Linked DNA regions of Arabidopsis thaliana. The protein of the gene in region 1 binds, or shares a complex with, the protein of each later gene. Each region holds a gene or a part of one and is shown in the gene's direction. Other genes may lie near its edges. The genes, in order: NdhT, PnsL1 and PnsL4.

The links.
Region 2: NdhT (region 1) and PnsL1 share a complex: the UniProt entries of both Arabidopsis thaliana proteins name them as parts of the chloroplast NDH complex.
Region 3: NdhT (region 1) and PnsL4 share a complex: the UniProt entries of both Arabidopsis thaliana proteins name them as parts of the chloroplast NDH complex.

Annotation. Positions count from the first base shown.
Region 1 is NC_003075.7:5,930,451-5,934,106, reverse strand, and holds NdhT (Chaperone DnaJ-domain superfamily protein), read left to right. Parts: upstream 1-1,631; 5' UTR 1,632-1,954; coding exon 1,955-2,280; intron 2,281-2,366; coding exon 2,367-2,790; 3' UTR 2,791-2,997; downstream 2,998-3,656. UniProt on the Arabidopsis thaliana protein: NDH shuttles electrons from NAD(P)H:plastoquinone, via FMN and iron-sulfur (Fe-S) centers, to quinones in the photosynthetic chain and possibly in a chloroplast respiratory chain.
Region 2 is NC_003071.7:16,474,039-16,477,797, forward strand, and holds the start of PnsL1 (PsbP-like protein 2), read left to right. Parts: upstream 1-2,159; 5' UTR 2,160-2,296; coding exon 2,297-2,356; intron 2,357-2,438; coding exon 2,439-2,520; intron 2,521-2,605; coding exon 2,606-2,710; intron 2,711-2,803; coding exon 2,804-2,877; intron 2,878-2,963; coding exon 2,964-3,086; intron 3,087-3,173; coding exon 3,174-3,245; intron 3,246-3,329; coding exon 3,330-3,426; intron 3,427-3,511; coding exon 3,512-3,615; 3' UTR 3,616-3,759. Other genes in the region: RPL23AA (ribosomal protein L23AA), read left to right, coding at 1,011-1,026, 1,330-1,693, 1,782-1,866. UniProt on the Arabidopsis thaliana protein: NDH shuttles electrons from NAD(P)H:plastoquinone, via FMN and iron-sulfur (Fe-S) centers, to quinones in the photosynthetic chain and possibly in a chloroplast respiratory chain.
Region 3 is NC_003075.7:18,426,979-18,430,737, reverse strand, and holds the start of PnsL4 (FK506-binding protein 16-2), read left to right. Parts: upstream 1-2,159; 5' UTR 2,160-2,412; coding exon 2,413-2,760; intron 2,761-2,846; coding exon 2,847-2,939; intron 2,940-3,118; coding exon 3,119-3,179; intron 3,180-3,255; coding exon 3,256-3,324; intron 3,325-3,406; coding exon 3,407-3,489; 3' UTR 3,490-3,759. Other genes in the region: AT4G39720 (VQ motif-containing protein), read left to right, coding at 1-708, 1,385-1,423, 1,542-1,558. UniProt on the Arabidopsis thaliana protein: NDH shuttles electrons from NAD(P)H:plastoquinone, via FMN and iron-sulfur (Fe-S) centers, to quinones in the photosynthetic chain and possibly in a chloroplast respiratory chain.

The DNA of each region.
Region 1 (3,656 bases):
TAATATGTAATAACTGAATATTTTTGTTGTTTTACAATAGAAGAAAAAAAAATCGTGTCGGTGAAAACAATAATGCTCAACTAATCTGTGGACCAAAATAGATGGTAAAAAATGATGAAATCAAGGACAAGATCTAGATACAACAGAAATATTGTGATGAATAAAATTGAGAGACAAATTTAATTGAAAGTTACATGTAAAGAATCTGTGCAGGTTGTCAAAGAAAGTGAGAGAGTGACAAAAGCGCTTCATCTTCGGGAAGATAATAATATATGGTTAAAGCGCACAGATTTCAAGGAAGGAGAGATAAAATAGAGAAGAAATGGAGAGGGACAAAATCGATATTTCAGTATGAAATATGACATGAGTTGTAAGGCCCAGCAAATTATGGCAGATTGCATAAGGATTGGAAAAAATATGGCATATGTTGTAATTTTTTCCTTTTTAAAAATAATCTAAATAATTCTATAATCAATATGTGAACGATATTATACTTTACAGATCTTTTTGTAACTTCACCTTAATTATGATAGACCTTGCAAACAAATAAATGCAACAAAAAATAGACACTAAAAAATCTCAACAACAATCTTTAAATTATAAAAAATCACATAAATATCTTCGGGATTCAAATTTTAATAATTATTTAAACGGATTTTCTAATTTATATCAAAACCAAATATATTGAATATAAAATATACAAATAGGAAATACATTAATTTAAAAGATACAAAATATTTAACAAGAAATTGTGTTATTTTTTGTTCAAAGAATTCGATATAAAATCTTCGAAACGATCCGATATTGATTCTTATTAGATTGAAATTGTTAAAATTTCAATATATTATACAATTTTTCTTTTTAAATTGAAATTGTAAACCGACTCGAAGTATATTAAATAAAAATATTATTAAAAAGAAAAAGAACAATTTGATTTTTAGTTATCACGGGACGGATTTATATGGCGGGACGGGTTTACAGGAGACGAGTTTACATGGTAGGACGGGTTTGGATGAGACGAGATTATATGGTGCTATGAGTTTAGATGGGAAAAATTTGGATACCACGGGTGTACTCCTAGAATTAACAATCAAATTACAACTATACAATAGTAAACAAAACAAACAATAATAACATAACAAATACAATTTTAATTTCAAATTTTTAGTTACAAAAAAATAAATAAAATCAACATTTTAGTATAAGTGTTAATCTTCTTTGACACCTCTAAATGTTATTCTTCTTTGATACATTTAAATGTGTAATTTTAATATAAAGTTACTAAACTACATATGTTCCATGGATTAAATTTGAAAACACCAAAAGTTTATATTAAATAATTTTTTTATAACAAATTATGAATAAAATAAAATATTATCCCGTGGTATGGTCTATCACAAGTCAAATCCTAAAAGATAAAATAACATATATTAGACTTATTAATATCATAATTGTGACTCAATAAAAAACATACACAACCTTATCGATAATTATTAATCATCACAAACAACAACAAACAACAAATTATATTTTGTGATAAAGAAAAATAAATAAATAAATTTAATTTACGGTATATCGCGGGTCATATCCTAATTATGATACAATTGTCTATTTTTACCCTATATATATTACAAACGCACACATTTGTTGCATAACATATTTAGACATCGCTTCCAAAGAAAGAAATCATTTATCTCTACATTATTTCTTCCTCTCATTGCCCCTCTCTTCTCAACGTTTTGTCTCTTATATCTTTACGTTTCATACTTTTTTTTTGTTGACATTTAATTATTTAAATTTTTTGTTCCTATGGACACTAGATAGGACAACAAAAGATATAAAGAAAATCTACACCACACATATCATGAGGTTCTGGAACAAGTTTCTGCGGTAAGAGAAACCAAAAACATGAAGGGCAGAAAAAAAAAGAACAAACCATCTTCAACACAGAGCCATGGCTTATGCAACTTCTACCTATGCACGAACCTCATGCATTATCCTACCCAAAATCCAAAACGGCGCGCATTTCACGGATGACACGAAAGCATTTAGAAGGATAACAGCAAGAAGAGTGACGCGTATATACGCGTCACAAGGCCCGACTAAACCGTCAAAACCATCTCCAGGAGTAGACACAAGAATCCACTGGGAAAGCCCGGACGAAGGCTGGATCGGAGGAAGATCCGACCCGGCCAAATCGGTTGATGAGGACAAAACCAATCTCCTTAGTGACGAAAAATTTGCAGAACTAATCAAAGACTCTTTTGATTCTCATTACCAGTGAGCAAAACAAACATTCTCATTACATATCTTTTTATTTTTATTTTTCAATATGTATTGTAACATGTAACAATAATCATTTTCAGATTCTTAGGTGTTTCAACGGATGCTGATCTAGAAGAGATAAAATCTGCGTACCGGAGATTATCTAAAGAGTATCATCCAGATACAACTTCACTACCACTTAAAACAGCTTCAGAAAAGTTCATGAAATTAAGAGAAGTGTACAATGTTTTGAGCGATGAAGAGACTCGGAGGTTTTATGACTGGACACTGGCTCAAGAAGTTGCGAGTCGTCAAGCTGAGAAAATGAGAATGAAGCTAGAGGATCCGAAAGAGCAAGATTTTAGGGGCTATGAATCAATACCTGATATGGTTGACCGGTTAGGTGGAAGAAACATGGAGCTTAGTGATCAAGCAATGACTGCTCTCACGTTCGATATTTTGATCGTATTATTCGCTGTTTGTTGTATAGCTTTTGTGATTGTTTTCAAAGATCCTTCTTACTAGGTAAGGAGCTTTGTATATACTTGGAAAATTCATATAGTTTATATGTAGATGGAAGATTAACAATTACAGATTATAAGATCATTTGAACTAAAATAAAGTGGTCTAGTGGTTCTGTTCCTCACCTTTTTTGTGTGTGTGTTATTTTTGGATTTTTTCTAAGCTATCCAAACATTGTTTTAGAGCTATATTTTGTTATGCTTACCTAGCTAATCCAAATAGTCTCATTTATATAAAACAAAGCGAACAAAATAGTAGTTTTGATAACTAATGCGGAATTCACTAGTTTGGGAAGTATAGTAGGAATAAAAACTAGGGAGATTTGCAAAACTACCCTTTTTTCACTACCTTTTGCAACAATACCCTTTTATCAAGTCTTATATATATGTAGCACCTGACTCAATCCTCCTTAGACGTGTTCCTTAGAACTGTTCGATGCACATTTTGACTACGTTTTTTTTTCTTTTTTTCCTAAGATGTAAATATTTCACTAAAAATGAAAACAGTTTAAGAGTATAATCAAAAGACTATAAATGGTCCCATGACAAAAGAAAAACATGAAGCATAATTTATCAAGCAAACTTCAGTCCATCCGCATAACAAACGCACATAAGCTAATAGAACTAGATGAAGTGATAAAGGATTTTGTTGTTCTTTCAGACTAGTTTGAGTAAATGAAGGGTGATAGCACGTGAAGAAGCCAAAATTGTCTGCACACTAAGCACTATAAGCCTTTCACTGGAAACCCAAATTGAGACGTCAACGGTTAAGTACTAAATGTCGTCGATCACATTTTGATTTGGAACATGGCTTGTGTTGTCATTGTCTCAATGAACTGTTTTAGCGAGGCTTCAATGTGAGCAAATTTC
Region 2 (3,759 bases), on another chromosome or scaffold:
TTAAACGACCCCGTGACATGACATGGTTATGAGTCACATATGTGCCCTCTCAAACTCTATTATGTAGTATAAAAACTGTATTAGATACAACCGACCCAAGATATAGAAGAACCTTTGAAAAATGGTAGAAGCCAGTTCAGCTAAAGCTTTCTTCTTCACAATTATCGTAAAATATTAGACATGTAGAGCAGGCTTGTTGTTCTCTTATTGTCAAGCGTAAGTAAATGATTATTGTTTAGTTTCGTGACCAATTGGTTTGTTTTTTGGTTAGCCATTGTTCGATTTGCTTTGGTTTGGTCAAAGATTGTATGCTTTCAAGTCAAACCAAAGCTGACTAAATTTTATTCTGTAATAATTTACTTTGGAATGGCAAAACCAAAGAAAGGTCATAGACACAAGAGAAGAAGCAAATATGTTTCTTACGCCAAAAGACACGTTTGTATGGTAAGACAAAAGACACGTTTGTATGTTTCTTACGCCAATACCATTACGTTAAAAATAAACTAGTAACTTAAATTTACGCTCACTTTCTATTTGGGTTTTACATGATGATTTTGGTCAAAGGCCTATTTACAATGTTGCAAGCCCATATTATCTTTTAAGTATCTTTTTGTGCAACCAAAAGAATCAGTGATCTTATGCTCATTTTCATTTTTTTCTAATGAAATTTTTCGTCACTTATGGCTTATGCGTCCGATGGACGATTATGGTAAAAGGCCCATTTATTCAATCCAAAGCTTACTGGGTTAGATGATGATTGTGGTAAAAAGGCCCATTATAGACCCAACTAAGTATCTTAGGGTTTCAGTTTCCACTATAAAACTTGTTGCGGCGTAAGTTAGGGTTTTGAGAATCAGCGGCTTCACCTCTCCAGGTTCGTGTCTCGATTTTGCAAACTATCTCTCGAAATCGTCCTACATTTCTTTCTTCAGATTCATTACTGAGCTTCGCTTTCTGGGTTTCTATCTAAAAATTTCACAGATTTCGTGTGTGAAGAATCATTTCAAGCCATGTCTCCGGCTAAAGGTACGATCTTTTCATTGATAACCACTTGAATCTTCACTGGAACATGATGGATTTGGATCTTCTTCTACTAGACTTTAGTTTTGCTGAACCCGCTAGTATCTGGTCTCGATTAATGTTTTCTAATCATGTTTCGTTAGGTGATTAGTTTCAATATCTTCCTGATTAGCTTCAACTAAGTGAGATTAATGTAGTATCCAAATGAATTTTGTCTGTAGACGTGTTTCTGAGTATTCATGTATTGAAGTCAGATTTGTATCAAAGTATTATATGATGCTTAAACTCTCTGTTGTATGTAATTTGCAGTTGATACTACCAAGAAGGCTGATCCTAAGGCCAAGGCCTTGAAGGCGGCAAAGGCTGTGAAGTCTGGTCAAGCCTTCAAGAAGAAGGACAAAAAGATTAGGACCAAGGTCACCTTCCACAGGCCAAAGACTCTTACCAAGCCTAGAACTGGTAAGTACCCAAAAATCAGCGCTACTCCAAGGAACAAGTTGGATCACTACCAAATCCTTAAGTACCCACTCACCACTGAATCTGCGATGAAGAAGATTGAAGACAACAACACTCTTGTTTTCATTGTTGACATTCGTGCTGACAAGAAGAAGATTAAGGATGCTGTTAAGAAGATGTATGACATCCAGACCAAGAAAGTGAACACACTCATCAGGTACTTTAAAGAGTATTTTTCTATGAAGCCTTGTTGTGAGATTGATTATGTTCAATATATTTGACACTATGGTTTGGTTTTGTTACAGGCCTGATGGAACCAAGAAGGCTTACGTGAGGCTTACACCAGACTATGATGCTTTGGATGTTGCTAACAAGATCGGCATCATCTAAGTCTATCTATCTCTGCAGTTATAAAGACTATTGTGGTTTTGTCTCTTGTAGTCTCAGTTTTGCTTTTAAGATATTTATTATTACTATCATCTGGTAATTGTAGTATTTTGGAGCAAAAACGTTTTACAATACATTCATGTTGCAGTTTATTGTTGAATTCAAGTTCTATGTTTTTGACTTATCAAGATTCTCTTTTTAAAACTCACTAACTTATAAACTGTAAACATACAAATGCAGTATCTTCTCTAACCAGTAAATGATCATAAATCGATCTATCACCACATATTGTTTGCATCTTTCATTATCCTTTTATCCACATGTTGATGAATGGAGAAGTCCGAGAAATGACGAAAATCAGAAATTTCTTATCCACATAGAACACTAAGGCAATGTTCATTGATCATCAAAAGTCTTGTGAATTGTAGCCACTATGGCAGTCTCCTCACTCTCAATCCGCTGTGGTGGTTTCTCACCAACAATCTCCCACAAGGTTAATAACACTGTTCTGATTCCAGTCTCCATTTCTGAAAACTAAAAATCATTATTGTTCATTGATTCATATTTCTTACCAGACAGAAATTCTCTGTCCAAATCCATCACTCAAAGCTTGTTGTTTACTTTCATCCGGTGGTAAGGCCGACTCCTCGGAGAGTAGTAAGAAACTAAACTCTTGTGACATTTTCCTTCTCATACGTAATACATTGACTTGTGTGGATTGATTTTTATTAAAATTCAATAGCTTACCAAAAAGGCAGCGGAAACAATTGGAAGAGAAGGCAAGCTCTTGTGGGAGTAGGAACTTTAGTGGCAACTTCAATTCCAGCAACTTTGCTTCTTGCTGAAGGTAATCTGCAAAACTAAGGGTTTTGTTTTTGCCTCTCTTCTTCATTCTTTTGGGACCAAAAGCCTAATATGTTGATTCATATCATGTTTGCAGAGATACCAAAAAGCTACTCGCCTTTTGTGGATCGAGAAGACGGGTATTCTTACTATTACCCATCAGACTGGAGGGTGGGTAATGGCTTTGTTTCCATTTTTGTTGAAAGAATGAAACATAAATGAATTGAGAATATCTCTGTTCTGCCCTTACTACGTAGGAATTTGACTTCAGGGCACATGATTCAGCCTTCAAAGATAGATACTTGCAACTGCAGAATGTGCGGGTCAGGTTCATACCAACGGAGAAAAACGACATCCATGAAGTAGGTCCTATGGAAGAGGTATGTATTACACACCTTACTTTCCCTCTACCATCTATGTCATTAGAGAATTCACATTGGTTCATCATTCTTATATATGTTCATCAGGTGGTTTATGATCTAGTGAAGCATAAGTTTGCAGCACCAAACCAAGTAGCTACCATCTACGATATGAAAGAGGTCAGATGATTGTTAACATCTTAAAGAATCATCAAAGTTGTTGAGAGATTGGATCTTTATAAACAATAAGAGATGAAAATGCAGAGGGTGGAAGATGGAAAGAACTATTACACGTTTGAGTATGGACTAAGAACTCCTATCTATGCAACCACTTCCTTTGCAACAGTGGCAGTTGGAAACAGTAAGCACAGATTATAAGAATTATGAGATAGATGAGAGAAGAAATTGAGGAATAAACAAGTGTTATGACTGATTTGATGTTGCAGACAGATACTACACTCTCATAGTTGGAGCAAATGAGAGAAGGTGGAGGAAAGTGAAAAAGCAGCTTCAAGTTGTGGCCGACTCTTTGAAGATCCTTCAGATTTGACAAACACAAGAAACATCTTACTCCTATATATCTTTCTCTCTCTGTGGTTACAAAACTGTCTGTAGATAACAATTTGATATTTTCATATTCTCTATAACTCCAACGATGGTTTTGGCATTGTGAGTTAGATTCTGAGTTGGTTCA
Region 3 (3,759 bases), about 12 Mb from region 1:
TGTCATCTATACCCACGCCGCAACAAAACCATCGCAACCTCCTCCATTTCGACCATAACAACAACAACTCTCTAATACCACCAAACTACTTTAACAACAACACGTTCTTACCCGTAAACCAACAACCCGACCCGATTTCTCAACTCGACCTCCGAACCTCCTCCGCCACGTCATCACTCCCTCCTACTAACAATATAGGAGTAATCAAGAAAACAAAGAAAAGATCTCGAGCATCAAGAAGAGCACCAACGACGGTTCTAACGACGGATACTTCCAACTTCCGAGCGATGGTTCAAGAGTTTACCGGAATCCCAGCTCCACCGCTATTCAACAACAACTCCATCGTGAACACCACGCGCCTCAACACTTTCCTCGGCTTGTCTTCTTCTTCGCCAAACACTTACAACACCAACAATCTCTTGTTACGACCGTTTGCTCAAAAACTCACTCCAGCGACTCCTCTCTTATCCGGATCACAAATTCAGCAATATCAAAACCCTAACAACGGTTTCGAGGATATGAATCTGCAAGCTCTTCTTCAAGCTCATATTTCAAACCCTAGAAGCAATGAGCACGATCAGTTTGGTCTTGGTATGATGCAGACTCCATCTACTAATCCTCCTACTACAACGGCAGCGGCTAACGGGAACATAAACACCGGTGATAATGGAAGCTACGGTGGCTCCGATCATGAACATAATAATGACGGTACTTGGTTATCTTCGTCTTCCGACCAGAGAACATAAATATATTTATGTATAGTCCAAGTCCGAAATCAAAGCTAATCTCTTGACATGATTACTCAACAAATTAAACATAGCACATATAGCATGATGAAGTTACTCGTTTATATATTCTATATTTCAGTATAAACCACTTTAAAACTTTTTTCGTGTAGGGTTTGTTAATTATTTAATACTTAATTAATATGCTTGTTATTTGTTAATCTTAGTTTTTTCCATAACTATATGTTGGTAAGTATTAGTTAGTAGATGGATCTCACCATTTGAATCAGATTTTCTTGGTATATTTTCTTATAATTATATAGAACTTTTAAATTTTAATGACAACGATGACTTGCGATATGAAATTTTAATTTTTCAACAATCAATATACAGTACGTGGTTTTGGGATCACTACGGTTAATATTTCTCCTAATTAATATTGGAGTGAATGGTGGCGAAATTTGGGGAATCTTCCACGGCCGCCGGATTGTGGAATATGGTTTTGGGACCATAGTATATAATTATTAATTAATTATAGACTTGTGGTGATTTGAAATTTGATAAATTACTGTTCTCCCATGTGCTTATTCATTTTTGGTGTATCATCTACATTAACGTCAATTTTTATTGACTTGACTCTCATTTTACCATACCAACAGATTTGAAATTTGAAAATTTCCCAAGCAAAAGAAAAACAGGTAATCAATAATGATAATTATACATACATTTTGGTTTTGACCTACTTTTGTCATATGACAATTTATCTTTATAGACACTTTTACTTCTATTATTATAAGTCTCTTTGTTTGTGAATAGGGGCAAATTTCATTTGACCGCCTCCGACAACCATTGACCTTGTCACGGCTCTGAATGTGATGCGTCTACAAAATTCCTAACTTTTTTCAGTCTTCTCATTAACCAATCAATCGTTAGAATATTCAGCTTAATTTATATCTCTTTCTAGTCTCTAGCTTAACAACACTTCAGAATGAAATGTCAGTTCTTTGTAAGCGGGGTTTTCAATAATATCATTTGCTACTGTATAGTATAATAGTAACTCTTAAAAATAATAATTCTTGTTTTTCACAATAAGATTTGATGATGGATTGATGGTCGCAAAACAAATAATGACATTTGATGAAAAATCTTTTGCTTGTTCTTGTGTATACAAAAGTTCAAATGATTTTGATATTTTTTTGTCCACGGACCAGTTACACTTAAGTCACCAATGCACTGTATAACCTATACACATCACTTACATAAACTATCAACAATGTGCATATATGTGTATCTCTATCTAAATGGAATATATAATAATGGGTGATGATGATGGTTTAATATTATGGTGGTGGTTATGGTGGACCATGATATCAAGCTATTGTCGCACTGATGGGTTTTCTATGTATTCAGATGATACTCGGTTTCATAGTTGAGTGATAACTAGGTCTGGCCATTATCTTACTATCCAAATAATTCGATTCGGGTTCTCAATTTTGTGGGCCGATTGGCTCCAAAAGTTTCATTATTATTTTTGTTCTGTTGAAAATAGAAATCCAAAAAAATACGGGTGGGTCCCATAATCATATCCATTGTACCGTTGCACACTCAAAAGACAAAAGATTCAGACCAAAGGCTCTGGCTTCACGCAGATAAGGAAGCAGAGATCGAAACGAAGACTCAAAGAAGAATGGCGATTTCTACTTTAACACTCACACAATCTCTCTATACACGTTCCTTCAGACCAACCATCTTCTTTTCTTCTTCTTCTTCCTCGTCCTTTTCGTGTCTCTGTTCTTCTTCCTCCGATTGCGAGCCGAAACTCTCCGTCAAGAAACGCGTTTTCGGAGTGGGTTTAGGGTTCCTAGCTTCTTCGATTCTCTCTCTAACGCCTCTGGACGCAGACGCCACGAGGATTGACTACTACGCCACTGTAGGAGATCCTCTCTGCGAATACAGCTACGCAAAATCAGGACTTGGATTTTGCGATCTCGATGTTGGATTTGGTGATGAAGCCCCTCGTGGCGTACTCGTCAATGTAATCTCTCCATCTCTCTAATTTCCTCTGTTTAGGGTTTTTGATTCAAAGTTTGAGACTTTGGAGAGTTGGTCACACACACACAGATCCATTACACGGCGAGGTTTGCAGATGGAACGTTGTTTGACAGTAGCTATAAGCGTGCAAGACCACTTACTATGCGAATTGGAGTCGGCAAGGTACAACAAAGAACCATTGTCTCTCTCTCTCTTTGTTAGCTTCCATAGTCTTCAATTGCATTGCTAGCAAAGTTCACACTTGTCTTTGTTGAAGTTAGTTAGTTTCTTATGTTCTTCTTTGTGATTAGGGTGAGCAAAACAACTATATATCTAAACTCTTGATGTCCAAAAATGATCAGGTAATTAGGGGACTAGACCAGGGGATTCTTGGAGGCGAAGGAGTACCTCCTATGCGAGTAGGCAAGTGTACTGTATTTTCCTTTGTTCAATGTCCTTTATTTGGCTGATAACATATTGGTGCGGTTTTATTTTGCAGGCGGAAAGCGTAAACTTCAGATTCCACCTAAGTTAGCTTATGGACCAGAGCCTGCAGGATGCTTTTCTGGTACTTGCACAATTCCTCTGTAACAGTTTCACTTGTATATGTAAGATATGTATCTCGAGTAATAAATCGACTCTTTATGCAGGTGACTGCAACATACCTGGCAATGCAACTTTGCTCTATGATATCAACTTTGTTGAGATCTACCCAGGAAGTAATACAAGATGAAGCCAACTCCAATCCCGTTTGGTAAAGGAACAAACAACTATGTATGTGATGTATATCACCAGGTGATTACTTTTGACAAGCTTCAGATTATAATTTCTGTAACCTAAAACATTGATGATTTCCAACTGAATCCAATGTCTAACCTCCTATTAAAGAACAAGACACATCTTCTCTGTGCAGATCTGTCTTTTTGTTAAGTTATGACCTTGGAAAATCATATACTTGCATAAATGTATAAGCGCGTGTTAGGTTAGATTCAGTCTTGGTAAG